Drosophila melanogaster: one gene and its partners. The protein of the gene in region 1 interacts with the protein of each later gene in a pairwise test. Each region holds a gene or a part of one and is shown in the gene's direction. Other genes may lie near its edges. The genes, in order: CG7879, Rbp4, gsb-n and CG30122.

Region 1 (7,087 bases):
AATGTGGAGCGGCAGCAGGAACAAAAACAAAAACAAACAAAAGAGTTGGCGGCGGGCGGCGGGTGGTGAACGGGATTGGGTTGGGATTTTGGGAGCAGAGGGACAGAGGCGCGCGCATTAGATCATCACGCAATCCAATATTAATAATGGACTCTGGCGCAGCCAAGGAAAGTTATGGCCACCTCCACACCCACCTTCCACCTTGTCTCAGGGTCACTTCAAACTGCTCCATATCGATTTCACCCGCCTGGGAATGCCAACCAATCAATAGGCGAGTGCAAAGCAAGCAGAATGAATTACATATTTGATAGATCTTGAGTCCATTTGAGTGAAGTTTTTTTTTTTAAATAATCTCGAATGGGGAGCTTTTTGAGCAGCGATGCTATTGTGCGTACAAAAATAACCGAAAGTGCAATGGATACAAATAAACTGAAAGTTCTGGTGGAACGGAAACATATGGCAGTTCAAGAGGATTATGGGGGCCAAGAAATGCGATAAGCATTCGAGGAAACAGGGGGGAAATACAGAATAATGTTAAAATCTTGCGTGGAATCCACTTACTCTAATATTCCAAAAAGGCAAAACCTACAAATCGAAGTGAAATAGAATTGAAAATATCGGAAATGACGAACAGGAAGTAAAATGAAATGTCAAAGTTCCTTGCTGAACAGTGGGAAAAAAGGGTATCGCCCATGGTAAATTCCGATATTATTTATTCAACACCATTTAAAAAAAAAACTCTTTTTTTGAGGAGTGCCTTTACCAATCATTTTTAATAACATCAAGTACAAGATAGCTCGAAACACTGACTCACCACTAAAGGGTTGGGAAACACTAAAAACTTAATAAACTTAACAAAAAAAAGGTGTAATAAACACCTTTTTTTATGATTTAGTTTTAACAAATGGGATATTTTGTGATTATAGAGTCATTTTATCTCCAGAAATGGTATTCAAATATAAAAACTCTTTGGATGTTTTGAATACTTATGGTATATTGTGAGTATTCCAGTTGTGCTGACAAGAGTTTCCCATTAGGGGAATAAAAATCACGTTAATGATAACGAATGAGTCACGAACTCGTGCAAAAGTTAATAATACTCGCATTGTTGAACTCGAATTTGTGAGCAAAACGCAAAGCGTTAAATGTTAAACGCTTGAAATTTGCTTACGAATCTCGGCGACACCGAAAGCCAGAAGTAAATGGCCAAAAGAAGAGGCAGAAGAAGAGTGAGAGAAGGCTAAGCGAAACACAATCAGCTGCACAAAGAAGAAGCAACAACAAGTTGCTGCTGGCGGAGATACACAGAAATTGGCCAAGCAAAAGTCTCCAAGCGAAGAAGAGTCTCCAAAGGTGGCAAGAGACGAGTAAAAGCCATATTGCGATGATTGTGAGGGAAAAGGAGGCGCGGTAAGTTGGTAATTATGGAGCAGGGTGTGTTGGAGGTCGGAAGCCTTGCTGTGGGGCTTCAGTGGGTAAATTGAATTTCAGGCAAAAACAAAAACATATGCAGCGTCAATAAACCATATGCGAAACGACCTTTTGGAGAGTGGGGAAAGAAGAAGACTCGAGCTTATCTTCATTGCTCTTCCACTCACGCACACACAAACACACACAAGTACACTAACACCTTGCTTATCAATGCAAAAGTACATTGACAACAACGAAAACACAGAAAACGAGCTCAATAATTTCGTCATCGAATCGGGTAATCCACAACCTGCCATTTCAGGGAAAACAACTTTTACACAAACACACACACATGCAGAAAACCTGCACGCACAAACTGAACAATTCCTTTTTTAATTGGTACGCTAATTACCTTTTTTCAAATGCAACTCTCCACGCTTTAGAGCGTTTTCACAGTTGCAAATTCCGTTTAATTTCGCTGCACCCGTTTTATATAGATTTTCAAATCTCAATACGTTTTTCTTTCTTTTTTTCACCTGACGCCAGTCGCGTCGCCCACTGACGTCGTCGCTCTTGTTTGGGGCTAAAAGAATGGCCTACAGCGGTTGACTTATGGCCGCGGCGGTACGCAATATGTTTGCCAATGTTTGAACACGATTCCTGGATGTTTTTTTCGCGGATCGTGGGTGTGAAAACAGCGAAGGAAAGCGGAGCAAAATAAATGAAAACTACGCACGAATCGTGTTGGTGTGTGACCTAACTACACTAAGCGCTAAAATCTGCGTGCCAATACATAAAAAATACCGAAACATATGTTTTACAGTATTTGCGTGGGAGTGCTGCGTAGTTATTTTCTTTTCGTTTGCTAATTAAATACCACAAGTGTTCACACTGTGCATCACGCGCACAGGCGCATCTTATCACTTGCGCTCCGCTTGACTTCGGATAAAATAACATAAGCAATTCCAACTAATATGGTAACAAACTTAAGTTAGCAGTAACAATTAAATTAACAGGGAAAAATATTTTGTAGCACTTGCACATTTAAGACTCGTTAATGTTCAATTGTTCAATACTCCAGCACAATCTTGCAAGATCAACATATACCATAGATTATATTAAAATTTAAAAGGTTAATAAATGTAATTGTTTGGTTACTTTATTGTTTTAAATAAACGTCATATAGTGACTAACGAATTAGAATTGTTTTTAACAATTAACCAAATCGCATTTCAGAAACCCCTTCATATTTTGCTCACAGGGTGCCCGTGGTCTTCGGAGTGATTTTTTTCTGCTGCACGACTACAGGTCACACTTTTCGTGTCAGCCATGTTGTTTTCTGTCACCAAACCCTCGCAAGCGTAGGAATTACAAAACAGCATTTCACTTTTTGTGTTGCCAGGAAAATATAAATTTTTCAGGCCGATCATCAGCAGGAATAATCAAAATAAATATATAGCAATTGAGCCAAAACAAACCCAACTGTTTTTGTGCATTGGTGGTCCAGAATAAGTGGAGTTTTGAATGGTTTTCATGGTGAGTAAAGTTCATTGAATAAATTCAGTACTCGTACTTAAAACAGCGACACCTCGCCCCCTCCGCTTCTCCTCTTCGTTCGTTTCGCTTCTGCTTCTTCCCGTGGAGATGCTTCAACATCAACGACTTCGAAGCAGCAACAACAACACTGCACGGGAGCGAGAAGAAAAACCAAGAAACTGCTGGAAACAGTGAAAATCGGTTAAAACCATTACCCAAAAGTATGTTGATCAGTATTGATTGGTGCTTAACGACTCGCAGATTCCTCTTTGCGCTCTGTTTCGTTTCGGTGTGCAATTCATATTTTATGCTTAGGGTACAGTCTCGGTTCTACTAGCAGCCCCGTTCCAGATTCGATTTCAAGATGAAAGGCATTATGTAAATACATTTCCGCGAATAAATTGTGTACCGCCTGTCACACATTCGGGGGTAGAAATATATATATTGCTCTTGGTCGTAGTAAATACCTGTATTAGCGAACATACCTGAATTGGCTTTAAACCGAAACATAGGTAGTCCGATACAAAGTCTTGCTTAGCTAGGATCACTCAGGAACTGAAAGATCTCTTATTAACAAGCATGCTAATAAAATGCAGAAAATAAAACAACGGATTTGTTTAGCATTGCCAAGGCAACATATCAATTGGGTTTTATAGCGCTTACCATTAAATAGTCTTAATAGCTGTTTGATCGGAAAACATACCACTATTTCATATTGGTACATAACTTTAAGGCTATCAAACAATTTTTAAAATATATTTCTATAATTATAAATGATATATGGATAAATGCAGCCACAATGCTGGCTTCGATTGGCAATTTTGATGGTAATCTCCCTCTAAGAACTATAATTTCGACTGTTTTTAAGAGTGTACACTTAGTTTAAGTTTTCAATACTTTAGACCACGCGATCGCAGCGTGTTGGGACGATTTGAGCCACCGCCAAAAATGCTCGTGCGGAAGTTCGGGGTCTGCTGTGGATTGTTGTTACCCACGAGGCCAGGTTGCCCGGGAATCTGAATCGGGCCCGGAGTGCTGGGCGCCCTGCTGATGCCTAGGCCGTTGTTTCGCAGCCTGGGCGCCACATAGGGACGCTGGCTGGTGGAGATACCGCCCGTTCCCAGAGGCGGCAGGATACCTCCGTTTGGAGGATTCACCACCGGAGGCTGTTGCGGCTGCTGTGGAAGATTTGCATTGCCCTGAGGCTGCGGTTGCACTATAGGCGGCACAATCGAGTTCACGGAGGAGTAATTGGGAGGCTGAGGCTGCTGCTGTTGCACCGGAGGCTGCACCGTGATCGGCGGAATCTGCGTCTTCTTTGTGAGCGCTGGAGCCAAGTACGGGTGGTTGCCACCACCAGTGCCACTGCTGTTGCTCTGCGGAATGTCGTAGGTGCGGCCTGAAGGCGTGGTCACTTGGATACTGTTGCCAGGCTGCATGCCACAGGGCTTTGGGTAGTCGTAGCCATTTGGCACCGCTTGGACATAGTTGTCGAAGTACTGGCTCACCTGATGCATGGGCGTGGAGTAGTTGACGGCGATCAGCGACTCCTTGGTTCGTACTCCCGAGCGGGCTTGGGCGTGGGCCGCCTGGAGGCGCAGGATGTTGGCCTGCTTAATGTGCGGCAACAGTTCGGCATCACCCTTTATCTTCTCGACCACAGCCTCGTCGCTATCGATGTTGCCACTGGGTACGATCCCGCCCTCGCTTTGCTCACTGGCTCCGGCTTTCTTGGTGGTGGTCTCCTCCGCCGGCTTTTGCAACTCCTTCGGCACCCTTTCCTCCTTCTGGCTGGGCACCTCCTCCGGTTTCTTTTCACCCTCGGGCTTCTTGCGATTGACAAACTCGAATAGGTCATCTATGTCGGGCACATCGGGCAGTGCTCCGTAGGAGTCAAAGTTGTCTCGGAAAGCACTTGCCCACTCCTCGCTCTTGTGCAGACTGGGATCAATGATCAGTTTCGGCTGCTGCTTGTGGTTGTGGCTGCTGGCGATGGAGGATCCCAAGGCCGCAGCTTCTTCGGGCGCCGAAATGCCTCCCACATTCTTGATCACCGTGATGGTCTTCACGCGGGTACCCTCCTTGGAGTCGATGTTGGTGGCTGCGTAGCTCAGGCTGAGATCCCTCTTGGCCGGCTGCGGCTCCACGGCGGGCTTATCCGGGTACTTGATGCTGATTATCGTGGCTCCATGCACGCCCACCAGCAGCAGTAGGCCCAACGCGGCCATTGTGTGAAAGCGGGCAATCTGGGAAATTTGGTTTTCTAGTTATAACTCTCTTCATTTGCACTCTTTCGTTTTCGAATCCAATTTGGGTTAGTAAGGCCCTAGTTTTTGTGATCATCTTATTCAATTTAATAAGGGATTGTTGTGATTGGGGCTTTAATCTAATACTAATTTAAGTCCCGCCTATTTAGACCTTTAATCGAATGATGTTGGTAAGTTCATCAAGCGATTCGTAAATGTTATGCAAGTCAATCCAAGGAAATAATCAAGTTTTAAATTGTGTATTGCAGTGGTGGTCTGCATGTTATTCTTTTAAATGTGTTATGAACAGAGTTTGGAATAAATCAGCAGTAATAAAGATTGAATCTCTTATTTCAACTGGATGGCACTGCAAGTTAAGTCTATCGGTCATGGATAAGTAAGAGGTGAAGATTGTTTGGTTCAAGTGAAGACCCGATCAGAAGTCGAACAGTAAGTTGCTTTTGTGAATCAAACATGTTGTTATGTAAAATCGATCGATTAGCATGTAGTCCAAGGATATGCTCAAAATCACTGCCACCAAATCACTACTCCTATTCATGGCACACTTTTAAGGGTAATAATCCCATGCACATCGATCACTCACTTTCGATCTTCTCATCGCTTTAATCCTTCGCACATGCGATCGATCAATCAAATGATCCGATCGTTTAACGATGAAATGAGCAATGCGATGCGATGATAATTGTGACGAGGATCAATGACGGCCGACTGCGGCGGGCAAGGAGACGGTGACGGTGACGGTAACGCGGTCAATTCGAATTTCCTACTGCCGGCCGAGATGGCAACAATGCTTTTTATATAGCCAGGCGGAAGGAGTGGAGCTTCGGTTTGGGTTTCCTGTAGCTCCCCGGCTCTGGATATCTAAAGTCTTTGACACCGAGATACAAACAATCCGACAACGAGCCAATCGCATTAGCTCAGAGCACACAACTAGCAGGCCGATTGAATTAAAGCTGCATAATAGCTTTCCCATTACGTCCAAAACGATCAACGAGTTTTCTCCAGCCACTACTGTTTTGGGAAAGCAGTTGCCGCCGATCCTCCCGCCAGCCCCGAACTATTGATCCCTCATCCTCCAGTGGACGCTGCGGAGCCGTCTCGTCGGCACATAATTGAGTGCGACTAATGAGGAAATTGAATCTGGCTAATGATCGTGGAGCATGTGGATCTGTGGTAGCTCCAGTGGGTGGCTGCCTGTTAACCACACAGCTTAAGTAGAGATAGTTTTCTTTTTTCTACACAATGCCTCATGTCCTTGGTAAGATCATGTGCGAAAGTCACCAGCTGCTACTGTAAGTGAGACATCTCAATTAGACCTTTATTCTGGCGAAAAGCTAGGGAGAGAGTAGCTCCTCCTAGCTGGCTGGCTGCAAACTGGTCGTCTTACGCAATACCAAAACGCACGCTTGTCTTGGCCAGCCTCAAAGATTGTCATGAGAAACTGCCATGCGAATCCATGAAATAGTGGGTCTAATGTGTGTGCAACCGAGCGATCAACTCGAGATTTAATCAGGAGCAGAGCACAGCTTTTCCCCCAAGGAAGTTGGAAAGTAGTAATGTAGGAAATACAGAATTGCCAGGCGCCTACAGGGTATCATCTTATTGGTCTTCTGTAGTTTTTATTAAAGTCATTGTTTAATCTAAATTCTTCCGAAAGATTTTGGTTAAAACTTGTGTGATCCGCTGATAGTGCATAAGCATCTTATATTGGAAGATTAGCTGAAGGGTATACAATGAATGTTAAGTGATTCATCAATAATGGATTGCAGCGGTCTGTTCTCTTTTATTCCTTAAACTGAGCTGAAATCTTTATTTTAAGACATTTCATTTTGTTGGTAAATCCTCCATAAGTATGCGATTATCGTTACAGATTT
Region 2 (6,498 bases), on another chromosome or scaffold:
GCTCACTTCGAGAAGTGGGGCAACATTGTCGACGTGGTGGTGATGAAGGATCCCAAGACGAAGCGCTCTCGCGGCTTCGGTTTCATCACGTACTCCCAGTCGTACATGATCGACAATGCGCAGAATGCCAGGCCACACAAGATCGATGGACGCACCGTGGAGCCCAAGAGGGCTGTGCCACGCCAGGAGATCGATTCCCCGAATGCGGGAGCCACGGTAAAGAAGCTCTTTGTGGGCGGGCTTCGAGACGATCACGATGAAGAGTGCCTGCGCGAGTACTTCAAGGACTTTGGCCAGATCGTGAGCGTGAACATTGTTTCCGACAAGGACACCGGCAAGAAGCGCGGCTTCGCCTTCATTGAGTTCGATGACTACGATCCCGTTGACAAAATCATCCTTCAGAAGACCCACTCCATCAAGAACAAGACCCTGGACGTGAAGAAGGCTATTGCCAAGCAGGATATGGATCGACAGGGCGGAGGTGGCGGACGCGGAGGTCCTCGAGCTGGCGGTCGCGGTGGTCAGGGTGACCGCGGCCAGGGAGGCGGTGGCTGGGGAGGCCAGAACAGACAGAACGGTGGGGGCAACTGGGGCGGAGCTGGCGGCGGCGGAGGATTCGGCAACAGCGGCGGTAACTTTGGAGGCGGTCAGGGCGGCGGCTCTGGCGGTTGGAATCAGCAAGGCGGAAGCGGAGGTGGTCCATGGAATAACCAGGGTGGCGGCAACGGCGGCTGGAACGGTGGTGGTGGCGGCGGCTACGGCGGCGGAAACAGCAATGGCAGCTGGGGCGGTAACGGTGGTGGAGGTGGTGGTGGCGGTGGCTTCGGAAATGAATACCAGCAGAGCTACGGCGGCGGTCCACAGCGCAACAGCAACTTTGGCAACAACCGTCCAGCTCCTTACAGTCAAGGAGGTGGTGGTGGAGGATTCAACAAGGGTATGTTGGGTTATTAAGTGATTTGACCATAATGTACATAATGTACTTAAACCATGCATTTATTTTTTACAGGTAACCAGGGTGGAGGTCAAGGCTTTGCTGGCAACAACTACAACACCGGAGGTGGTGGCCAGGGTGGAAATATGGGAGGCGGCAATAGACGTTACTAGACAAGGTAAATATAGATAACCTGGACGACAGGTCCTATCCCATCGTACAATCTCAAACGCTCGGATCTTTGGTCGTTATTGGCAGCTAGTTGGTAGCCTAGCCATGCAATCAAACTCATTTCGGAACGATTCGAAGCTAATGCAAAATTTTCTCCTCTTTCGCAACTAGGTAAACACACATAGAGAGAGAGAGTGTGTCAGTTCAAGCTAGACGACAAACAGGCAGTCTAGGCAGGCAGATGCAGAGGGACAAGCACATTCACAGGCAGGCAATCAGTAGCATGTGTGTGTCAGACCAGGCAGACAAGATCAGAACCAAGAAATCAAGATGCAGAACCAAGAACCAGGCCGTGCGCAAATGCAAACGATAAATCAATCAATCAGGTTTGGGTCCGGCCGCAACCTGCAGGCTATAGCCATAATCCACTTGTCAAAAGCACCAAGCAAATGATTATGCGTCAAGCAAAACAGCCAAAAGCGAAACGAAACGAAATCCAATCGACGCCACTTGTCCACAGTTTGAATGCTGCTATCTCTCTTTTGTAACCATTAATAATTCGCTGATCGATTTATGTTTAGGGTCCTAAGAACCCCGAACGCTTAGTTTTAACCATAAACAAACAAAAGAAACAAACACAACAAAATATAAATTAAACAATAATTTTATTGTACAAAATTGACTACCAACTGAGCGGCGACGGATTCTCCTTGAGATTCAGTCGTTGTAAGGGTGTTATAAGGTAGAGCACTTTCTTTATATTTATTCATGATTTTATTGTTTTTAGCGATCCAGCGAAATGTAAGAAATCAAATAGTACCATATTTTGTAATCACTTTTTTTGTACAACTAAGAACCTTTATGATTTGTGGCAAGTAAGATCCCAACTCCTGAAATGCGAATGCCACGCACATTTGTGTACAGGCTGCACAGTGGCCGAGAAATGGTGTCCTAGCGAGCAAAATCCATATATGCATACCAACTCTGTTAGTCCCTAAGAAGTAGATGCTACGTTAAGCCAGACTAAAAAGAAAAACGCTAAACAAATATCACAAACATTCTGTAATTAGTTCGTTACGAGTGAAACGAAAGCGACAAAGAGATACAAGCAAAATAAAATCCTAACCAATGTTACCTACCCACCCAAAATGAAACGAAACGAAATAATCACAGGAGCAATGCCCTAGCAAAGAGGAGCAGCAACTGCAGCAAAATCCGGGTTTTCCGATCCATCCCAGATCGGCAGGGTAGCGGGCAGGGCTAATTACCGTCACTAGAGACCCCCACCACCTAACCCCCGGGCAAACCGCCGCATACTAATGCACTGACTATTTCTTTGCAAGACTGGCCGGGCTACGGACGGAAGCTCCCTCCCGGGTCCGTATACGAAATCTGGGCTGCTCCACGCACCGGTTCGTTTCCACCAGGTATTAGTTAATGGTTTTAGACCGCAAAGCAAGCGGTGGCCCAGGAAGAACTCACTGGTGGACTTTGGTTGGTGGCTCCCTTCTGGCTAACTTGGTGGGTACAGCGGAGGTAAGTGAAGGTAACTAGTCGGTATTCTACTAACACCTCATTTGTTTCTGAATTTTTCAATAAAGTACAACTTTTACTAGCAAGAACAAGAGCTGTATTTTATTTTCTGGGGGCGATATTTTATAGGGTTACGTATAAGGGTTTAGGCCCTATCGATTTATTGGCCTATTTGTATCCAATAATGCTGAATCATCTAAAAGTGACAAGAACTTTCACTACCAAGAACAATTTGTTCTATGAATACCATAAATGTTCAGTGGATTATAGCCGGTTTTCGAAGGACCTAGCTTTCTGGATTGTATTACGAACTAAATTCTTATGAGATCAATGGGGTTTTTCTTCTAATAATGCATAAGTAGGGTTTTTTGCTAGGACTACGAAGCAAAAGAGGCGATATTATAGGGATTTATAGGGTTACGCTTTAAGGATTCAAACCCTATCGATTTATTGGCCCATTTGCATCCAATAATGCTGAATCATCTAAATGTGGCAACAATATTTTTGGACCTTTTTCGATAGTCCATAACTATAGACGTTTGGATTTTCTTGCCTGTCATTCAATTTGTGGTTGGCTTCACCTGAGTGCTGTAGTAAATCAGGCTATTTTAATTTTGACATCTCTTCGAAAATGGATGCGGGAAATTGTGCCTCGTCGGCCTGCCTTGGAGATGTAAGCTCATAATCCCCCAAACTATTCATAATTATCAACGAAAGTCGTTGTGTGTGTGCAGTGCAAAGGCGACGGAAAGACGGCCATTAAGGAAGAAGGCTACGAGCATTTGCGCAAGATCTTCATTGGCGGCCTATCCACTCAGACGACCGTGGAAACGCTGCGCGGATTCTTTAGTCAGTTCGGTATCGTGGCCGATGCGGTGGTCTTGCGGGATCCGGTGAGCAACCATTCTAGGGGCTTTGGCTTCGTCACCTATGTGGATCCCAAGTCCGTGGAAATTGTCCAAAGGGCACGTCCCCACACCATTGATAATAAGTGAGTAGTTCTCTAATAATCTTTCGCTGCCCTAATTCTATAAAAAGTTGATTAATTAATTTAGAATTGTGGAGACCAAGCACGCACTGCCACGTCAAGATTTCAAAAGGGGTGGCGGCGTTGGTTCCGTTGTCGGAAGTTTTGGCTGTGAAGCCGGTTTCATGAACTCGAAAAGGATCTTTCTGGGCGGCTTGAAGGAATACCACGATGAGAATATCGTACGCGAATACTTTTCGCAGTTTGGCCCTGTGGCCAGCGTGAAATTGCTCATGGACAGGGAGACCGGACGTCAGCGGGCATTTGGCTTCCTCGAGTTCGTGGATCCATCCAGTGCCGAGAAGGCATTGGGTAAGTTTCCATGTTTCTCATTTATTGAAAGTCATCGTGCATTTTTTTCAACTACCTTTAAGTATGATATAGATTAAAATCTGATGATAACGCTGCTTGCTTTGATTTTCAGCACCGCGCAAGCACTGGATTCTTCAGACATTGGTGGAGGTGAAGAGATCCACCCAGAAGGCCGACAGGCGTTTTCGGTTCCCCATATTTAGCTCGGTTCGAGCCGGCTACATTCCGCCCCAGCCGGCCACTGCTGATAGCTACAATTACAACAATCCCAACTACAATCCCTATCTGGCCCAATCCGTCCTGCCGCCATCGGCATTCACTAACGGCTGGGCCCACTATGTAATTCCGATGGCACCCAAGCCAACACCCGGACAGAACATGGCTGCTTCGTTGCCGTCACAGCAGCTGGCAGAGCACTCGCTCAACGGACACGGTCCGGACATGTGGTCCTCCTATCCGAAGACCGGTATCTACTCGGCCCAGGAGTGGACTTCCAGCAAAGTGGCCGAATGGGGACCGAAGGCCGGGCACAAACATGCCCAGACATCGACCAACGATCGTGCCAAAATCGATTTGAAAGAACTCCAGGCAGCTACTTTCAATAACAAGCTGGATTTCGGCGCCCGTGGCGACGCGGATCGCATGTCGGGAGCTGGCTTGGGATTGGGTTTGACTGGCGGTGCCGCCGTGGGAGTTGGAGCTATTAAGAAGTGGCCCACCCAGGACTATAAGGTCTTCAAGCCAGCTAAATCTCCGACCAACGGAGTGATTCCGAAGATCGGCAAAGAGGCTACAACACCACCCTACGGTTCATTTTTTTCCTTAAAATTTAATTTAAATTTAAATTTAATTTAAGAAAGAGAAAAGAATCTAAAGTATCTTTTTATTCTTGCAGGTATCTAAGTGGCGGACGATGGAACGCAGTTAAACCCAATTTACTGCCACAGTTTAATGCTATTACTACAATAATTTGCAGGCGATTCCGTTCAAGATATTTAATAAATAATAAAGCATACGGGTCCTTTTGAGACTTAAAATCGTAAACTCTTGTTCTTTATTTATACTATTTCTGTTGGTTTTTTTTTTATGTTTGTTTCCATTTAAAGTATTGCATGTATTGCATGAGTGAATTGATTTTTCGCAAATGTTTTATATCTGAAACGCTATAAAACGCACCAATGAATTGTGACTGGAATTTTGTGGGCTGGCTTCTTCGACTGGCTTGTTATTAATTAAAATTATGCAAATTGCTATCGATTGCTCGGCTTTGTGCGCATCAATTTCATTTAAATGCTGAATGCTCAGTAGTTCTTCAGTTGTTTCAACACAAAGGCAAATGGGAATTGGATTCAGTCGCTGGATAAGTAAAGTCGCCTTGATAAGTAAAATTACATATCCTTGTGAGTTTTTCCTTTCAGATTTCTAAATCTACGACTTGGTGTTTCTTTTAAACGCATTTACCAGAAAAGGAAATACGAACCGATCCAAAACAAATGTGTGTGTGTGTTTTTTTTTTTTTTTTTGAAATGAAACAAAATCATAAGTTTTCTGGTAAACACGCTGAATCTTTGTGATTGGTTTTTATTATTATAGTTATTTTGTAGTTGTACACATATAAATTAAATTATAATTAAGTGTTTCCCTCCTTTTCTCTGTACTCTTTACAAACTGCAGTATTGTGATTTCATCGGTTTACTTAGAAATGAGCATGAACTCTAATTGTTTGTTTTTCGTTTACTCTTACATCGATTTAGTTAGTACCTCTGATTTGTATTGTATTGTTTGATGCTGTTTTCATGTTTCTTATTTTTTTTTTTGTTTGTTTATTATTTCTATGATGTTGTTGCTGGCCACGGAGCACTTTCAGCACTGATCGTTGAGCTAAGGTTTGAACACTAACACTTTCGTTTTACAAAAAATGCACTAAAATTGCTTTAGACCCTGTTCACAGTGCTAGAAATGCGTGGTGTTATATAGAAATAGTTGTGGAAATTGCGATTGTAATTGATTTAGCAATTGATTCTCTAGGGCAGGCGTCGAACAACAAAAACAAATGATATGTTCCCAACGAATTAAAAGTCCTTAAGCTTTAACAAAACAAGAATAACTTGGGCAATTATATATATTTGGACGCCTGCGACAAAACTCAAATGATGCTCACACGAATTTAATGTTTTCAGTTTCCTAATCGCTTTTCTGCCTTATTTTTATTTTGCAGCAGCAGTTATATAAATATATATATATATATATTTATGTATATTTAGATTTCTGGTAAGTCTAAAAGTTAACATTAAATTATATGAGTTTTTGTTTTGTTTATATATATTTTGTATATATTTGTTGTTACATGTTTTGCTTGTTTTACCTTGAGAAAAATGTTAGTAGCTTGTGTCTCGTCCCCCAACTATTTATTATAATAGGTTCTTGTGTGTTTATATGCTTCACATCTTCTCTACTCATTTCGTTTCATTCTTTTTTTGGGCTTTTCTTGATTTTATTTAAAAAATATGTACTAAATTTT
Region 3 (7,221 bases), on another chromosome or scaffold:
ACAAACGTCGTCGTTGGTCCCACCGGTCCCTGCCTAGGATTGGGAAGACACAGCGGCGGTTCAAGGACGACGAAGGTGTCACATCAACGGGGTGCCGTAGAGCACGGTAGCACAGCAAGTGGCGAACAGTAGGCTGGAAAATTTAGTTACCCGATTGGCATTTGGTATTGCTTGGCCCCAGCAATCGCCAGATGCTACTGGACCATTCTGGGAAGTCGCCACCTATTCATAAGAGAGCATAATAATGTGAAAAATTCGTAAGCGTCCGCCTGCTTTCTTACGATATTTCAAAGTGGTTTACAGCCTCGTGAGTTTGAATGAATTTGACTGTACTCACACTAGCCTTTAACAGCCTCTTATAATGCAGGACAAGTTCTATGCATGCCCTGCTGGCGACAAAATTTACAGCCTTCTGTAAATCACGGTTGTGAAGTGTGGCCAACATGTGCTCTGATTCAGGGAAAACGATACATAGAATTTGGCTTCAGTTTACGGCATTCATAAAAGCCCATCAATAGCGTGGCAATGAGGAGACGTTTTCACGTATACAGATACAGATTTACAACTATAGTAATTTGTTTAAAAGTCGTTTATAAAACGTTAATTGAAGGTTTTGTTGACGAAATATTAACTTAAAAGAGTCCCAAAGACGGTGAGCAGTATTCATTCTTTAGCACTTTTATATTGTATAAAAAAAGTGATTTTATAAGGGCATCCTTATATAAATTAGTCGACATATTGAATTTGATTTTCCAGTTCTTGACTTTGGAAAGTGACGTACGAAAAACGAAACTCTATACATTGAAGAACCCAAATGGCAGCGTTTGGCTCGTATCAAAAGTTTAAATTCTGTCGTTGCCACGCATGAGGAACTCCGATAATTGAAAACTGTCAATACGCATATTAGATAATTTGTTATGTTTATCATGAGCCTGTTCTTGTGGTTTCGCTTAGAAAACAGGCGGAGACACAATTAAAATATGCCTTGTCCTAGGACGTCCTGTTTGGCTCATTTGCATGGCAAGTTCTATTGCCGATGTTGATGAGGCGTACCGGTGCACTCAAGTGGCTGTCCATACGGGCTCCTTGCACAACGCTTCATTAACATCGATTTTTATGCTCATTATCGCAGGGACTCCAGGTCGGCTTAGCAGATAAATCCTTCTTTGGAGAGTCCTTGCATATTTCTTCAGCCTGCCAGCTCATTCTGCTCAATTCGGTTTCGGAACGCAGCACTAGTAATATTATTGTATATCAGAAATTTGCATGCGGCCGGCTTTTACAAACATACTCCAATACGAACCAAACACAGGACGACGAGCGGCCATTTTTAGGCTGCGTCCCTTCCCTGTCCCTGTCTCGCCCTGATGCCAGATGCAGGCGGCATGTGCGTATCCTTAATATGCGTAAACTTCACGCTTAATTCTCTACATTATGATGACGTCCTTTCGCTGTTTTCGCTTTTGTTCGTTGGTTTTTCAATTTCTCAAAACTGCAGACCGTTCAAACTGTACCAGGTGTGAATTTCTTTGCTGTTAATAGCTGTTGATTGATTTTTGTGTTTGTATATTGGTAATTGACTTTCGTTGCTCGGAGAACAATGTGCTGGATGTGTTTACTAGTCAGGCTTTTGCTTGTACACAGTATCTAAGCTTTGTTATCCTTCAATCATGAATGCATGATAACCAATGAATGATATTAAAGCTAATCCGCAAAGGGTCATCATTAAATTACATTCCATTCCATTCAATTAATCAAATGCAGAATGTTATGAAAGCCCTGAAAAAAATGAGAGGATAAGGCAGAAAGCTAAAGGAAACTGAGACCCCATAAACATTTCTGTCAAAGAACTAACCTAACTAGCCAGAAGCTAAAGGAGGGTGCAGACTGCAAAATGGGATAAACATATATTGGAAGCACACGACATGGAACTGTGGGTGCTGAAAGTAACAAAACCGGAACGATTGGTACTGGGATGTGGTGCTGGACTTGAGTTTGCGATTGGGCTTGGTCGTGGTCCTCGGCATGTGTCCTGTGCTCCCTGCAGCCTTCACGGTTTAATTGGCTGCCAGCGATGAAATAAAAGTCATACAATTCCCACAATGCTCGGGGACAGCTGCATTCACAGAGTGATCAAGCGAGTGTCGTCAGGGGGGTTGATGTGCGGATGGATTATGGATGCGATGCAGTATCAAAAGTCGGGCGAGCTGAGCCCAGATCCGCCCTGAACCAGCTCAGCCAATCACGTCTTTCGAGGCGTGGCAATTCCTCGATTAAAGCGCGGTCAGCTCACTACCGGCTCTCTCTTTCTCTGCTCGGCTGTGAGGCTTTGATCGGTGCCATATTGTGCCTGGTCGTGGCGCTCCAGTAGGCAGCAACCACCGAAAGGGCGGGCGCGAAAGCTGCTCTCACTCTCCCTCCTGCCAGCATCTCCATCTGCGTCTCCATCTGGCGGTGGTTGTTCGGCGCGAAAACCAGTTTGTGGAGCGATCTCATTGTTTGCCCGTCTGCGGAGTAGTCGTAGTCATCGCCCGGACCGGCCGGCCCTCGTTAATTTATGCTCGCGCTTCTCTTTAGTTGCTTTGCACGTCTCGTGCAGTTTGATCGCTGAAGCGCGCGTGATTCCAAGAAAAATCCCGCTTCTCACCACCGGACTGAGAGTTGCAAAGTACCGTCGGAATCGGGAGCCGCCCGTCGTAGTGATGAAGTGGGTCCTTTGGGCCAGCTTTAAGTGATTTCCCACAAGGAACGACAGCCTACTGATCATAGCTCATTTCAAATATAATTGTGCAATGGTATCGACTCGGATGCACTAACCTACCGAAAATAAAGAAAGTTTTTTGAGTGCAGCGTCGCTTAGATTCTCGATTGCTATAAGCTCTTTGCATTCGGACCATGGATATGTCCAGCGCGAACTCGTTGCGGCCCCTTTTCGCAGGGTATCCCTTTCAAGGTAAGTAATTTCAACATATATCATATCATTTATACTGTGTATTTCAAAAAACTTACCCCTTGAAATCATGCGAGACCTAGACTTGTTTACATTTGAACCCTATTTCCCTCCGACGCCTGAAGAGAATACATTCCCATGAACTCCTTACACGTAAGATAGTACGGTACATATGTATACACTATAATTAAGGAACAGAATCCATAATGTCTTTTAAGCTACACATTAGGTTAAGTTCAGAAGGAAGTGAACGATTCCTACTGACTAATGAATAATAATAAATGATTTGACTTATCAGTGCTTATGCCAATTGATCTAACTTGCCCACAGGACAAGGCCGGGTAAATCAGCTTGGGGGCGTCTTTATCAATGGACGTCCGTTGCCCAATCACATTCGACTGAAGATCGTGGAAATGGCGGCCAGTGGAGTGCGGCCTTGTGTAATATCGCGCCAGCTCCGCGTGTCTCACGGCTGCGTATCGAAGATTCTGAACCGATACCAGGAGACGGGTTCTATTAGACCGGGCGTAATAGGTGGATCTAAGCCCAAGGTGACCTCTCCCGAAATTGAAACGCGGATCGATGAGCTGCGAAAGGAAAACCCCAGCATATTCAGCTGGGAAATACGCGAAAAGCTGATAAAGGTGAGTACCGAGATGCACCTGCAAGGTTGCAGGAAGCAATAAAATGTACCAAAACAAACGATGCGAGGATTTGCAGGACCTGCCGGTAGCCTTAACCGCATGCCAATATGTCCAGATAGAAGAGGGTCAAAATACGCACCGAATGCGAATCAGTTTACTTCCGTTTTCCGAAAAGTCACGTGGCAGTTTCGTACCGCCCGCTGGCTTTGTTATGGCACGTTGCCTATGACACCTACTGGCCTTTTGCATATGTCGGCTGACTAGCTGCACAGATGGCCCAAACTGACCAAGGACCCAGTTTGAACTTGCCCGCTCATTGACAATATTGTTGAACAACAGCGACGACAAATTTTCGCTTGCCACCCAAACCGTTAAGAAATCAATTAAACCATAAAGACACCGCTTCTGTCGTGTTCCTTGTCGGCATCGTTTGTGTTTTGTCCTTGAGGCGAAAAGGTGCTATACGAGAATATATTTATATGATTCTTCGCCGTCGGGACTTCGCTTCCGGTTTTGAGGCGTGAAAGAATCGGTCCTACATCAAAACATTAAAATGGCTCGCATATAAGTTCGTTTCGTTTATTAGATTAACAAAATTTATAATTAACGACATATTCCTTGTCATCTATTCTCTGTTTTAATGTGCCGTCTTACAAACCTAGCCACCTTTGCCAATACTGCGATATTATTTTGCTTCAGATTTGCGTTAAGCTTAAAAGATGAGCACACTTCCCCACACCTTATGTGGCAAAAGCGAAGTCCAACGGGGAAATTGTGTTTCAGCTCATTACTGAACCTACGCCAATATGACTCATTCACAGAGACCAAAAGTCTGGCAAAAGATTTCGGCATACTGCCCACTAGCCGGACCAGCTCCACCGATTCACGCCTGCATGGATGGATGACGGCCGTCTTGAAGTTGATTTTCCCTTTCGGCAAAACTTCTCGACGGTGGAGGGAGTGTAGGGTTTAGGATTAATACAAGCACTAGTGTATTCATGCGCCAGCCTCTTTTGGCGGCATCGTCCCGCTCTTTATTTGAAACCGCAATTAGCCACACTTTATGGGGCGTTAGGATTCGGGCGATCGATACGATCGGACTATAGATCAGAGTCGGCATCACTTCATTCCAAATCCAAAAGATGCGCACTGTGTAATATGCACAGAAAGAAATTTAGGATGGTTTAATTCGCAAAAGTAGTTTTTTAATAAACTAAGTTTTTAGCTTACTATCTTCTTATTTTTTTATGGGAAGAGTGCTGGACTAGTGCTTTATTAATATAAAAAATTAAAAACTGCATTTAAAATTTTATGAATGACAAAAATATGCAATCACATTGCTGTTTTTGTATGACCTCACAATAACAAAAACCGTTAGATCGGGATTTTGATTGTTTTCGGTGTTATAGGCCTTATATTGTGTGCGCTCGCTTTTGCGTGGCAGTAGGCGTAAAAACTGCCTCCAGGTGAGCTTCACGCTTAATTAGAATATGCTTTAGGCATCTCTTGTGTCTTGATTTCATACCTGACCGCGATTACCCCTCCCTATGCCTACCTGATATGACTCGCTTAGTGGCGGCTTATCGACGATCGGGATTTCAGATTTTAAATGTTGTACTTTGGACTTGGTTATGTACAGGCGCTCTTAACTTCGGCTTCCTTTTTAATTCCACAGGGGCTCGTTCCTTGATGAAAATTTCAGTCACCAAATATAATCAAATGTCCCGCTGACAAAGTTCCAGATTCCAAGAAATTTAATTATTAAAAAAACAGAGCGCATCAGTCAGTCAAACTAAAAAACTAGAAAGAGCCCAAACATAATATAGTCAAAAACGCAACACGAATCGGTCATGTATAAAGCGCAGTCAAGTGTCAATCCAACTGTCATCTAATTAATTAAATTTCAATTGAAATTGTAAGCCACAACACGGGCGGATGCAAAAAATGTGTCTCACAGTCGGGGGCTCGACCGAGATCGAGATCGGGATTGGGATTGGGATTGGGATCCAGTTGTCAGTTGCGCCGAGATAAGCCGTCACACATTCCAGCCAAACAACTGGTAGGCCCCAGCCGGAGACCCAACGCGAGTAACGCAACCCAGTTGAAAATCAAAACATTTTTCTGTTGTTGTTTTCATGACACATTCAATAGAAATATGAGCCAGTAGCCAGAAGTCCAAGACCAGTTAGCCAGCCGGACGGTGGCCGCACTCCCAGCATACACTCAAGACTGGACAAAATGTCAGTTTCTGTTTCCGAGCCTGGCGTCATATCTTGTCTCGTCTTGTCTATGAGGTGCCAGTTATGCCACCTTTGTTAGCCGGGGAATTAACCGCAGCTTAGAGACACGGAGATATGCCTCCACTCTGCGATAATTTCGTTAGTGGAAAAATAATATTATTAATCATGAAAATGTTTGCGGCACATGCCACTCCATTTGAGGCGAGCCGAGTCCTCCGCCGCTGGGTCACTGTACTTCACCTTATGAGTCTGGCTGCCGAGACGACGGTACCTTGCACAGTCGAGCTTCGTGTGCAGCGATGGGAGCGAACCTAGAGTTAATGGTAAATCCAACTGTCAGTTTTTAGTTCACAACTATGGGAAACAAATAGTTGTTGGGCCGTTTGGTCTGTTAACTTCCAAAATAGTTGCTTGGATATAACTGCCTTAAAAGCGCCAATACTTGTATGCTCAACTCCGAATTTTAATTTGGGGAAACTAAAGCCTCTTTTTCTTGGCAGTTAAAGCCGAAAGCTTCATTTGGCTTGCATAGATCATATTAACGACTTCAATACTTCGCAATCTCGATTTTTTACAATATCTGCAGTTGTATCGTCTTCTAAGAAAGCACGCGACACAATCGTCTGTTGAGCACATAGTCAAAGATAAACTCTTATGGATGAACTCTAATTGGATTACCATCAAAGAACGTGGGGAAGGAGTGACGGCTACATGAAACACAAAGCCCCAAATCCACAATGGGAGATGGAAATTCTTTAGGTCAACAGTAGCACCCAAAATTTCTTATCAGGCTTTATCTAAATTGAAATTGGATAATTTATTTTCCCCTAAACCGTTGTCAAAACTATTTAGGCCGAACACAAAGGAATAACCGAATAATCGAATAACTTTTTATTTTTTCGATGATGCAGGAGGGCTTTGCGGATCCACCATCAACATCGTCGATCAGTCGCTTATTGCGGGGAAGCGATCGCGGCAGCGAAGATGGTCGGAAGGACTATACCATAAATGGAATTCTTGGAGGTAAGGAAATCCAGATTAGTACGGTAGACGATTAAGGCGATAGACAGTCTTACGAATTTGAGAACGGGTACCGGCATCTTGCTGTGAAAATCACCGATCATTTATTTGATAATTTTGAAAAATCATCATCAAATCATTTGTAGCTCAAATCAAGAAACTGGTGTCGGCACCTTTGCTTTGATCGTCTTAGCACTAGCGACTTTAACTTAAATAAAAGCCGATGGGAGTGGGAAAGAAAAGACTACAATGGATCTGGCTGACCATACGATAACGATCTCGATCACTTTTTAGCCATACACAACAGAAATAGGTGTAGATGATGACACCTTAGAATCAGAAGTACACAAGTTCCAAGATTCCATCG
Region 4 (10,451 bases), on another chromosome or scaffold:
GCCCTGGCGCACTTCGATGGCAGCGGCGTGGACGAGGCTGTGTGCACCATGGTGTCGCGGGTTCAGGAGCTGGCCGTCGGCTATCCGGAGGGTCGCATCGAGTTGCAGTTGATTGGTGGCTATCGCGATGCCAAGGGATACGGCGAGGACGTATTCTTCAGCATTATGCGTGAGTTCATTTCTAAGCTGCGTGTTTTAGTTCTTATATGAATTTCATTTATCATTTTTCTCAGAATCATTCCACAATCACCTACTTGAAATCGATCTGACGCAGGCTTGCGTGGGCGAGCTAAATACCATGATGCGCGGCGAGATCAACTGCCCCATCATCTATGGAGTGGGCGTGAACATCAAGACTGGTGAGATCTTTCCGGCCTCCTTTCCAGACCGAGGACCCGACCGGGAGCTACGCGATGCTCGCATCTTCATGGGCGCGCAGTCGGTAAGTAAAGGCCAAAATTTCCCAATGAGTTAACCTGCTAATCACTTGGCTGTGCTTCATAGGTTCTGGATATATACGACTCCTCGCTGGGCATGCTACGCATTGGACCCTTTAACTACGATCCTTTGCGCGGCGCTGATCTGTGGCTATCACAAACGGATGAGTTTCTGTTGCAGCACCTGTCCTCCAGTCCAGACGTGGAGCCGCCTCACTTTGCGCCTCAGGTATGCATATACTATATACTATATGTTTCTGTGCAGACACATAAGTTTTTTTTTAATTGCAGACGCGTGCCACCATTAGGTTTATACAGGAGAATCAGTTCCCCGCCGTCACCGTTTTCAGGGACAATCGGCCGCGCTACTTCCGGCGGGATGACGCCACGGGCTTCTGGGTGCTGGTTAGATATTAAAGCTTATTTTAGTGTTTAGTTGTTACGCAGTTCGAAAATGTCGCAGATGTGTTAATTGACTGGTGCATGTGTTAATTGTCGCTGTCCACCGCAAATGCTTCTGCTTGCCTTTTGTTTAAGTTTTGATCGTTAAGTTGATTGTATTCGGCTGTAATTGTCATTGATTTCCTGATTAATTTGTATCTGCTGTAATTATCGGCCGATTAGCAATAGCAATTGATGAATGCGACATACATAATCTCTCTTCAATTAGATACAAGATTGAGTTCCGACGCTGGAGACGGTTGCTTGGGACGAGCCTTAGAAATGGATCTGAACTGGGAACGTAAAAGCGATATATAACGATAAATAATTATTACAATTCTATGTGCAAATGTGCATGTAAATATTTATGTGAACCCCATTAAAGAACCTATTACTATTTAAAAGAGATTCTTAGCTAAATATATATGCGCATATTCCGTGTAAACGAAACGAAACAATTTCGAATGCAATCATTTTAGCTGTAACTATAAACTGTAATCAAAAATGTAAGAAGAAAAATATATAAAAATGGCTTGGCTATACATACACACACACACAGAGAAATAATTGAGTTTTCATTTATGCCATATATTTTTTCGTGGTATTATAAATTTTTAAGACTATGTGATGATTTCTGCTATACTAATTGTTAACTGAACTCCACCAACACATTCGCCATTTTTTAGATACGAAATGGTGAATCTGTTAAGACCTTTAAAGACAATGGGTGGCCAATCTTCGGTAGAAACAACGCCGTTTTTCACAAAATATGTACCCTTTCGAAAAGGACACATTTCAGCACCGGTAGTGGGTAAATTCGATTCGGTCGATTTTACTAGGAAAAAGGAAATGTAGTAGCGATTGAAAAATTCGCAGGGTTTGCTGGCGGCGGCGTTCACGATTCCCTTGACCCAATATCCATTTTTAAATGCGTGGGATTCGAAAAGGACGTCGAACGTTTCGTCCAAGTCTTCTAAGAAAATAAGAGTTCCATTTATCATGCGGTTTCTACCGAGCAATCGTAGCTGGTATAGAAAAAGGGTTTCGGTACTTCCTTTTACGGCATCTATCGACTCAAAGCGGACTTCATAGTTGCTTTTTTTTGATCCCTAAAAATTAAAAATAAATATATTATTGCCACAAATTTCTTTATTGATTATTTTATTTATTCTTACCACTGACACTGTCCACAGGATCAAAAGGCTTTGTATCATCCACCAAAAAGACATATTCCTGAATTTAAACGCTCCAATTGCGAAATTTTGGATTGTGCATCTTTAACTTATAGATTTTATAGCGACATGAGTATGGCATGTCGATAAAATATATTTCAAATTTAATTATAAGTGAGTGTTAATGAGCACTTGTTCTGCTGAAGGGGCATGGCCACAATCGATGTTACAAAAGTTAGGAAGTTAGGATGTTATAACAAGTTAGGAAAATGGTATAATATAAAAAACATGCAGTTTTTCGTAATAAGTATATTAGCAACGCTGCGTATTAAGTTAGTTTTATTTCAGCATTACATTTTATTAATCAACCTTAAACTATTTTAGCAATTTATAGAAATGACCCAATGGATTTGCAATCCAAGCTTATATTGAAGGTAAGACATCTAGTATTTAAGCATCGGTGGTTCAGTGGTAGAATGCTCGCCTGCCACGCGGGCGGCCCGGGTTCGATTCCCGGCCGATGCAAATTTTGTATACTGTTTTTTTTTTTTGAAATCTTAAATTCGTATTTATTTTATATAGTTTGCAAACTAAAAATAATGAAAAAAAAACATCAATTGCTTGACCCCGACGTGATTTGAACACGCAACCTTCCGATCTGGAGTCGGACGCGCTACCGTTGCGCCACGGAGTCGTTGTTAATGCCTGTGCCAAACAGCCATTATACCTAAAGTCAATTTACGAAAAACACTTTGTTATGCAGGTTTTAATACTATTAATTATGTTTTGAAATAAACATTGACTTTGCCTATTAATTTTTATTGATATAGTATTTACTACAAATCATTCAATCATTAAATATTTTCTTGCAGCGCACATGCAAACGGTTGATGCACACAAGCGCCTTCTATCGCTAGTGATGTTCAGCCTGTTATCGATAGCCACCAAGCACAAGTATCGAACCCAAGCACGGTAGCTCTACGTTTTCGTTTTCCCAATCGCAGCCAACTTCACTTCAACGCGTTCGGTATAATATTTAGGTCCATTTATTTATTCGCAACAAATGCGAATGTAAAAACGAATATTGCGTTTTAATTGTGCGCGCACGGTGCTAGCAACCATTGCGACTTGACTACGGTGACATTTCCAGTGTGGGTGTCATTTGCCAGACAGCGTGATTTGGCCCGAAATTCCCCCAATTCAGTTTTTCACATCGCCAGCTTTTCAGCGGTGCACATTGAGTGAATAAGCGTGTGTGTTTCTGCCGCCAATCCAAATTGAAGCGCAAGAATGGATGTGGCGAAGCTGGAGAAGATGAAGGTGGTGGACCTGCGCAACGAGCTCCAGTCGCGCGGCCTGGACACCAAAGGAGTCAAAGCGGTGCTCGTCGAGCGCCTGAGGGCATATGTGGAAGGAGGAGCCGGCGACGGTGGTAAGTTTGTGTGTATGCGTCATTTGACCGCCCGATTGTTCCAGTGTGTATGTGTGTGGGTGTCACTGTGTGCGTGTGCTTTGCCGCGTCCAAGTCATGCTTGTGTTTCGGTTTCTGTTTGTGTGCGACTGAGCGTGAGTTAGTTGTAAGTTTTCCTTATATAATGATAAAGTAATCACATTTCACTTTTCCCGCGTCCAGAAAATGCGCCGGTCACACCAAGCCGCCGTCAGCGTCGCACGCGCTCTATGTCCCGCTCTCCATCGCCGGTGCAAGCTGCTCCCGTGGCCGCAGAACCAGTGCTCGATACTCTCGAAGAGGAGGAGCAGCCGGAGGATAAGACAGTGCCACAGCCAGAACCAGAAAGTGAACAGCCAGCAGCCGAGCCGGAACCAGAACAAAGTGAGCCGGAGGAAGCTGAGCCAGCTGCAGCAGTGACAGAGGACACAACCGTCAACCAAGCGGTCAATGAGGAGTCGCAGCCTGAGCCCGAAGAGTTTGATGAAAAGTCGGAGACAGACGACAAGCAGGAGACAATCGAAGAGGCAGTACCCGCCGTCGTACCACAGAATGAAGTGGCTGATGAACCCATGGAAGAGGATCATGATGCTGCCCCTGAGGAGCAGGAACCTACACAAACTGAGGAGCCTGTAGAGGAGAAACCAGCCGAGAGCACTGTGGCCGAGCATCAGTCAAATGGCGACAGCCAGAAAATGGACGTTGATGAGGAGGATTCGGCCGCCCCGAAAACGGCGGAGGAGACCGAGCCAGCAGCTAAGCCTGAGGATCAGCCCCCGGAACGCCGCAAGCGATCACACAGTCGGTCCAAATCCCGATCGCGCAGTGGCTCCCGCTCGTCCAAACATCGCGGCAGCGTAGGTGACAAGCGTGAGTCAAAGGCAGCGGCCGAGGAACGCACAGTTCCTGAGGACGAGCCAACCATCGAGGAGAACAAAGTCGGATTGAGCTGGCGTAAGTAGACTTGCTGTTTGCAACGAATTCGATACACACATTCCTTAACGTTCAAAGCTTGATCCATCATTCACAGTAACTAATATCCCTTTGTTTTTATATTCCAGTGGACTCTGACTTGCATTTACGCATCGACCCAACCACGTTTGCATCGGCCAAACCCCTGACATCGGAAATTTACTCGCTTATTTGGTCCGGAGCCCGCGCAAACTACGGAGTGCGCGAAGGCAAAGTGTGCTTTGAGGTGCGCCTTTCCGAGGAGTCGGTGCCGGAGAACTCGCACTACTTCCGCGATGAGCCGCATGTGCGAGGATTCCGCGTGGGATTTTCAATGCCCAAGAGCTCCTTGTTGCTAGGCGAGGCCGAGCATTCATTTGGCTATTGCGAGACCGGGCGTAAGGCTACTCAGAGCGAGTTTACCGATTACGGCAAGCCTTACCAGCTGGATGACGTTATCGGCTGCTATTTAGATCTGGAAAGTGAGCCGTGCACAATTAACTACACTCTGAACGGCGAGGATCTTGGAGTTGCGTTCGAGTTTGAGAAGAGCATACTGGGCGAGGAGGGAGCCCTGTTTCCGCACATCGTTACCAAGGGCTACGAATACTTAGTGAATTTCTCTGACACCGAGCAGCTGTTGGTGAATGCCGAGAGGCCCACGCGCAAGCGCCGCAAGCCACGTAAAGACGAAGACAAGGATAAGGACGACGATAAGGATGACAACGATGGCGAGAAGTGGAAGGTCTTGGACGAAGCCACGGCGGATGATGATGAGGTGGAGAAAAAGGATGAAGATGGCAAGGCTTCTTCGGAGAAAGATGAAGAGGAAGCCGAAGATCCTGAAAAAGCCAAAGAGGATGAGGCGGCGCCAAAAACGGAAACAGAAGCCGAAACTAAAGTCGAGGCTCCTGCTGAAGCTGCTAAGCCCGAATCAGAAGCTACCGAGGCTTCGGAAACTGGTGAGTAATGATTGATTGAAAATCAGTTATCCCACAAAATGCTAATATTTTGGGTTTTCCTTTTAGCTGAAACTTCTACCGAAAAGTCGTCAGAAACTGCAGCTGTGTCAAATGGTGATGCTGCTGCAGAACAGGCAAACGATGAAAAGGCATCTGAGGATAAGAAACCCTCCGAAAACAATGATGAAGAAGATGAGGATGGCCCCTCGCCGAACAAGCGACCCAAAACCGATGGAGATTCGGAAAAGGCTGAATCCGAAAAGGAAAAGGACAGGTCGCAGACGACCGAAGATGAGTACGAGGATGTCGTGCCCGAGCCAAGGGATACAGCTGCCCTGCTGGAAGGCTATGTATTGATCGGCTTAGTACCTGTCGAAAAGCTGGTTTCCGGTCCACAACGCGTCGGATCTCGCAAGGAGTGCGAAGTCATTTTACTGGTTGGCTTGCCAGGAGCCGGAAAGACCCATTGGGCCCATAAGCATGTGGCCGAGAATGCTGACAAGCGTTACGAGTTGATTGGACCCGACGCATTCATTTCAAAGATGACAGTAAGTTGGTTAATAAATGTACATAGCTAGGCGCTGAAGATATTCAGTACTGACCAATATATTTGCAGATCGATGGCGCCTCTCGCAAGACTGTGCACAAAGGTCGATGGGACAAGGTGTACGAGATATGCTTAAATAGCTTGGCGGCTCTGGAAGATATTGCCATGAAGCGGCGTCGAAATTTCATACTTGATCAGGTAAACCATTAACAAATGACCTACATACACCCGAAACAAAACACCAGCCCACAAACACACAAGATTACACTATGAACGAACGATAACCAAACACAAAACGAAACAAGCGAGAATTATACGTTGATGATGACTTTGGCGCCCACCCAACACACTGGGGCTCTGATCCCCTCGGGATTGAGGGGTTCCACCAGCGGGGCACAGCAATGTTGCGCTATATATTTTTTAATTGTACATTTGAGTATGCATTTTTTTTTTGCTCATCGCTCTAACTTAATAGAGTGCCCAAGTGCCCCTAGAAGGGGCACCAACGTGCAGGTATGTCCTAATTGTAAGTCGATCCGATAATTAGAGTGCTTAAGTTTGAGGCAGTAAGTATCTGTGGACTTCCCATTAGCTTAAGTTTTACGTGCAGGCGCAACAGTTGACGGGGCAGTTAAGAGGGAATTGTAAGAAAAGTGGGGATGGAAGTGGATATGGATATGGAAATGGCATTGGAGAAAGATGAGTGAGTGTAATGGAATGGAGTGAAGTAAAGTATGGAAGAAGGAGGAGGAGGAGGAGCGAGCGGCATGGATGCCACTGTAAGTAGACAAACACAAATCCGATCGACGAGTCGTTCGCCTACAATCTAATCACATATACGTATTAGTACCTACTATCTCTACTCTATCTCTCTCTCTAAATGCCAACTATTCTCATATATATGTATGTGTATCTACAGAAAGCTATGCGATGCTTCATCCTACAGCCAGCAGCACAGCCAACCGCGACTACTTTTCCCCCATAGTACATTCTGTTATCCTTATGCAAAGTATTAAGTCAACTGTTGTTAGATGTGGCCGGGTTAACATTAACCCGTCGCCGCCCCCTAGGTATTATGTTGGTGTGCGCGCACCGCTTCCGTAAGGCCCCGCTCCCTTGCCGGCGGAGTGTGGGCGGGAAGTGGGTGTCCCGCCGTGCAACAGGTATGTGTTAGATTATAAGCGCTGAAAGCAAGCGAGCTCAATGCGAGTTGGGTTCGATCCCGGTAGACCGAGGTCTCCAACCGAGCCGTATCATCAACGTGTTTCTCAAGTTCGACGACTGTCCCAACAACAACCAAACCAAATCCAACCAAACAACAACTGGCAGACAAAATCTGAACCCAATTCAACCAAACAACACCAACCAACCAACCGATCAACCAACTGTATTCTTGTAGACCAATGTGTATGCCTCGGCCCAGCGACGTAAAATGAAGGGTTTTAACGACTTCAAGCGAATTGCGGTCGTTTGCATACCCAGCGAAGATGAATTGAAACGTCGCATCGCCGAAAAAGAGGAAAAGGGAAATGCTTTTACAGTTAAAGAATCAACAATTAATAATTTACGAGGTAAATATTATCCACCACACCAAAGCAACGAATTGAAAAAAAAAATCCAGAATAATGTACGATCGTATAACTTATTATTCTACCTATCTAAATAAGGAGGCATTCTTGTTAAAATGAAAAACATTATAAAAACTTATGTAACGTATTTAGTTTGTAAGCAGCTGCACTTTATGTATCTATACGTAATTGTAACTGTAAGCCCTTCAAAATATCTCATAATTTGATTATTATTATTACCATTATTCATTAACATTTATTCTATAACAACCCCCACTTGGCAACTGGAACGTATAAAGGATGGACTTTATTCACAACTGGATTTCTTGAAAATCGAAATTTTTGCGCCCTTTTACGTTCGGTTGCCAAAGTTGATCCCTTCTTTCCCTCTATACTCCATCTACAATAATTCCTAATCTGTAATGATAATGAGCGATTTTAGCAATTGTGCAGCCTTATTGATGATGTACACGCAATCTTTTTCCAGCCAACTTCACACTTCCCTCGCTGGAGTTTGGCTGGTTCGATGATATAAACTACACGGAGCTGACTGGTGACGAGGCCAAGAGCGAGGTCAAGAAGTACAACGAGAAGGGCAAAAAGGCCATTGACGCGGAGAGGTCGCGTGACAAGAGATCCCGAGGAAGTCGCGACAACTATCGTCGTGATGACCGGAACCGGAATCGATACAATGATGACCGACGTCGTGATTATGGCGGCCAGCGGCACGAAAGTCGTTGGAGCGACTCCCGCAGGGGAGGCGGCGGTGGCGGTTACTCCAGCAATAGTGGTGGAGGCGGCAGTCGTGGCTACGACAATCGCCGCAACTACAACAGCGGTAGCGGTGGCCAGCAAAATTGGGTGCAGAACAGCCGCAGAAGCGGGTACGATGATCGCGGCTATGGTGGCGGTGGAAGCGGCAGTCGTGGATACGACAATCGCAACCGTGGATACGCAGGCGGCAGCGGTGGTGGTGGCGGCGGCGGCGGTGGTGGTGGTGGTGGTGGTGGTCAGCAAAACTGGATGCAGAACAACCGCAGAAGTGGGTATGACGACCGCGGCTACGGCAGCTCGCGGGACTATCGCGATCGAGACCGTGGCAACGACCGCAGTCGAATGGGCAGTAACGACCGGAACCGGGGCAGCAGCCAGAGTAGCTATCGCTCGGGAGGTGGTACTCATCAACAACGGGATTTTCGGCCTGGCCACCGCGACACCAAAGAAGATAGTCGCGGTGGCTATGAGCGGTCAGCTGGTCAATCGCTACCCAAGTATGGCAATAACACCGCTGTAGGCGGTGGCTACGATCAGTACAAGCAACAAGGTGGAGCACCTGGCGGAGGCAAGGTAAGTGTGCGACCAAATCCTCGACGCATGACAGCTGGCTAAGATCTCGATCGTTCCTGTAGGCCTCCCTTAGCGGCAAGTGGAGTACGTACAGTCAACACCATCAGCAACAGCAGGCGCCGCAGCATCAACAAACGGGCATCTGGCAGACTCAGCAGCAGTCACAACAATACCAACAACCTCAGCAAGCAGCGGCGGGCCAGCAACAATACTGGGCCTATAACCAAATGCAGAGTAAGTGACGCAGTGTTCGACTGCTTAAGGGCGAAGACTATACGAGTTATGTTGATTCTCCCAGCAGGTTATGGCAACCAACAGGCCTGGCAGAGTGCCGATCCGCAGCAGCAACAACAGTGGATGTCCTGGTGGCAGGTAAGCAGGAGGAGTCTTATGAAAGTCATTGGAAGCGAGAATACTAAAGATATTGTTTCTTTAACAGCAGCAGCAGCAGGGCTCTGGCGGAGCAGCGGCTGGGAATGCCAGTGGCGGATCAGGCGTAAATGTCGGCGGCGGCGCTGGCAATAATGATGGCGGTGCCGCCAATCATTACTGGTCTCAATATTCGTACTCCACGCAGTCCAATGCGGGTGCCGACAAGAAGTAGAATGCAGCAACACTATGCAGCCGTGTTCCACCAGGCCCAGACCCCTCTGCGTTGTCCCGAAAGGAGTTAACCACAAATCTGAACTAAACTTTATATAATAGTTTTAAACGATTAACGAACAGTAAAACAAAATTAATTTAGTTTAGCCAGTTTGGGCTAGTCGAAACCAAACAATTGCGAGGGCTAACCAAACCCTAAGTCAAAATTCTTACCTTACCTTCGGATGGATTGTACAAAACTAAGACTACATATATCATTTGAAATTGAACGTGAATGTTTCGCTTTTCATTTTCCACAACGCATTTTCTATATGACAGTGACGAAGCAATTGAATGAAACGCGGTCTTTACTCTGGCACTACGTATCTAGGCAGTACAACTTGTTTTAACGTTTATTACGATTATTGTTTTATTTTTTACAATCAACGCAAACAATTGAAATGAACGCATTAGAGAAGAAACATTAACGAATAAATCTATACATTGAAAAAATCTATTTAAACGATCTTATTACTGGGAAAGGGTGTGTAATGCGCTCGCATTTTAAAGGACAAATCGTTAAAACACGATAAACAGCTAATTTTAAAATTTACATTAGGCCGAATGCAATTTAAGAAATATTGGAGTCTGCAAGTATGTATTTTCTAATTTAGTGTTTAAAACAGTTTTATTAAACTAAAAACTAACGTTTGCTTTTTTTTTTAAATGTATATTTTTATTTCCAAAAAAAAATTAGTAAGTTTGCCTTAGATTTCAAACTTAAGTTGTGCTATGAGTAACTGAAATTCAAAAAAATAAAGCAAAGGATATTTGTAGCTAATAAATATTTTCTAAAGATAAGCTGTTTAAATAATAAACTAATGTGATAAAATTTTTACTTGAGTCACTACCAGTGCGGCTTAGCGGAATTTTCGGCAAACGGGCACACTGCAACTTGGTCACACTGGCTAGCTGGCAGAAGTCCGTAAAATTA

Evidence for each region.
Region 2: the proteins of CG7879 (region 1) and Rbp4 interact in a two-hybrid assay, tested with the Drosophila melanogaster proteins (one large-scale study listed by BioGRID).
Region 3: the proteins of CG7879 (region 1) and gsb-n interact in a two-hybrid assay, tested with the Drosophila melanogaster proteins (one large-scale study listed by BioGRID).
Region 4: the proteins of CG7879 (region 1) and CG30122 interact in a two-hybrid assay, tested with the Drosophila melanogaster proteins (one large-scale study listed by BioGRID).

Annotation. Positions count from the first base shown.
Region 1 is NT_037436.4:1,564,277-1,571,363, reverse strand, and holds the start of CG7879 (uncharacterized protein), read left to right. Parts: upstream 1-2,755; 5' UTR 2,756-2,946; intron 2,947-3,054; exon of another isoform or gene 3,055-3,167; intron 3,168-3,561; exon of another isoform or gene 3,562-3,836; coding exon of another isoform or gene 3,837-5,192; intron 5,193-5,796; coding exon of another isoform or gene 5,797-5,811; exon of another isoform or gene 5,812-5,972; intron 5,973-7,083; 5' UTR 7,084-7,087. Other genes in the region: CG12003 (uncharacterized protein), read right to left, coding at 3,837-5,192, 5,797-5,811.
Region 2 is NT_033777.3:13,653,076-13,659,573, reverse strand, and holds Rbp4 (RNA-binding protein 4), read left to right. Parts: upstream 1-3,179; 5' UTR 3,180-3,269; coding exon 3,270-3,311; intron 3,312-3,372; coding exon 3,373-3,629; intron 3,630-3,693; coding exon 3,694-3,977; intron 3,978-4,089; coding exon 4,090-4,785; intron 4,786-4,872; coding exon 4,873-4,880; 3' UTR 4,881-5,018; downstream 5,019-6,498. Other genes in the region: Hrb87F (heterogeneous nuclear ribonucleoprotein at 87F), read left to right, coding at 1-937, 1,010-1,107.
Region 3 is NT_033778.4:25,047,683-25,054,903, reverse strand, and holds the start of gsb-n (gooseberry-neuro), read left to right. Parts: upstream 1-2,572; 5' UTR 2,573-2,895; coding exon 2,896-2,953; intron 2,954-3,280; coding exon 3,281-3,594; intron 3,595-6,745; coding exon 6,746-6,857; intron 6,858-7,221.
Region 4 is NT_033778.4:18,631,850-18,642,300, reverse strand, and holds CG30122 (uncharacterized protein), read left to right. Parts: upstream 1-3,030; 5' UTR 3,031-3,340; coding exon 3,341-3,482; intron 3,483-3,683; coding exon 3,684-4,454; intron 4,455-4,561; coding exon 4,562-5,413; intron 5,414-5,479; coding exon 5,480-5,961; intron 5,962-6,029; coding exon 6,030-6,158; intron 6,159-7,359; coding exon 7,360-7,531; intron 7,532-8,015; coding exon 8,016-8,875; intron 8,876-8,937; coding exon 8,938-9,109; intron 9,110-9,173; coding exon 9,174-9,247; intron 9,248-9,314; coding exon 9,315-9,479; 3' UTR 9,480-9,973; downstream 9,974-10,451. Other genes in the region: Ntan1 (N-terminal amidohydrolase 1), read left to right, coding at 1-169, 234-442, 505-666, 729-854; CheA56a (chemosensory protein A 56a), read right to left, coding at 1,499-1,987, 2,054-2,107.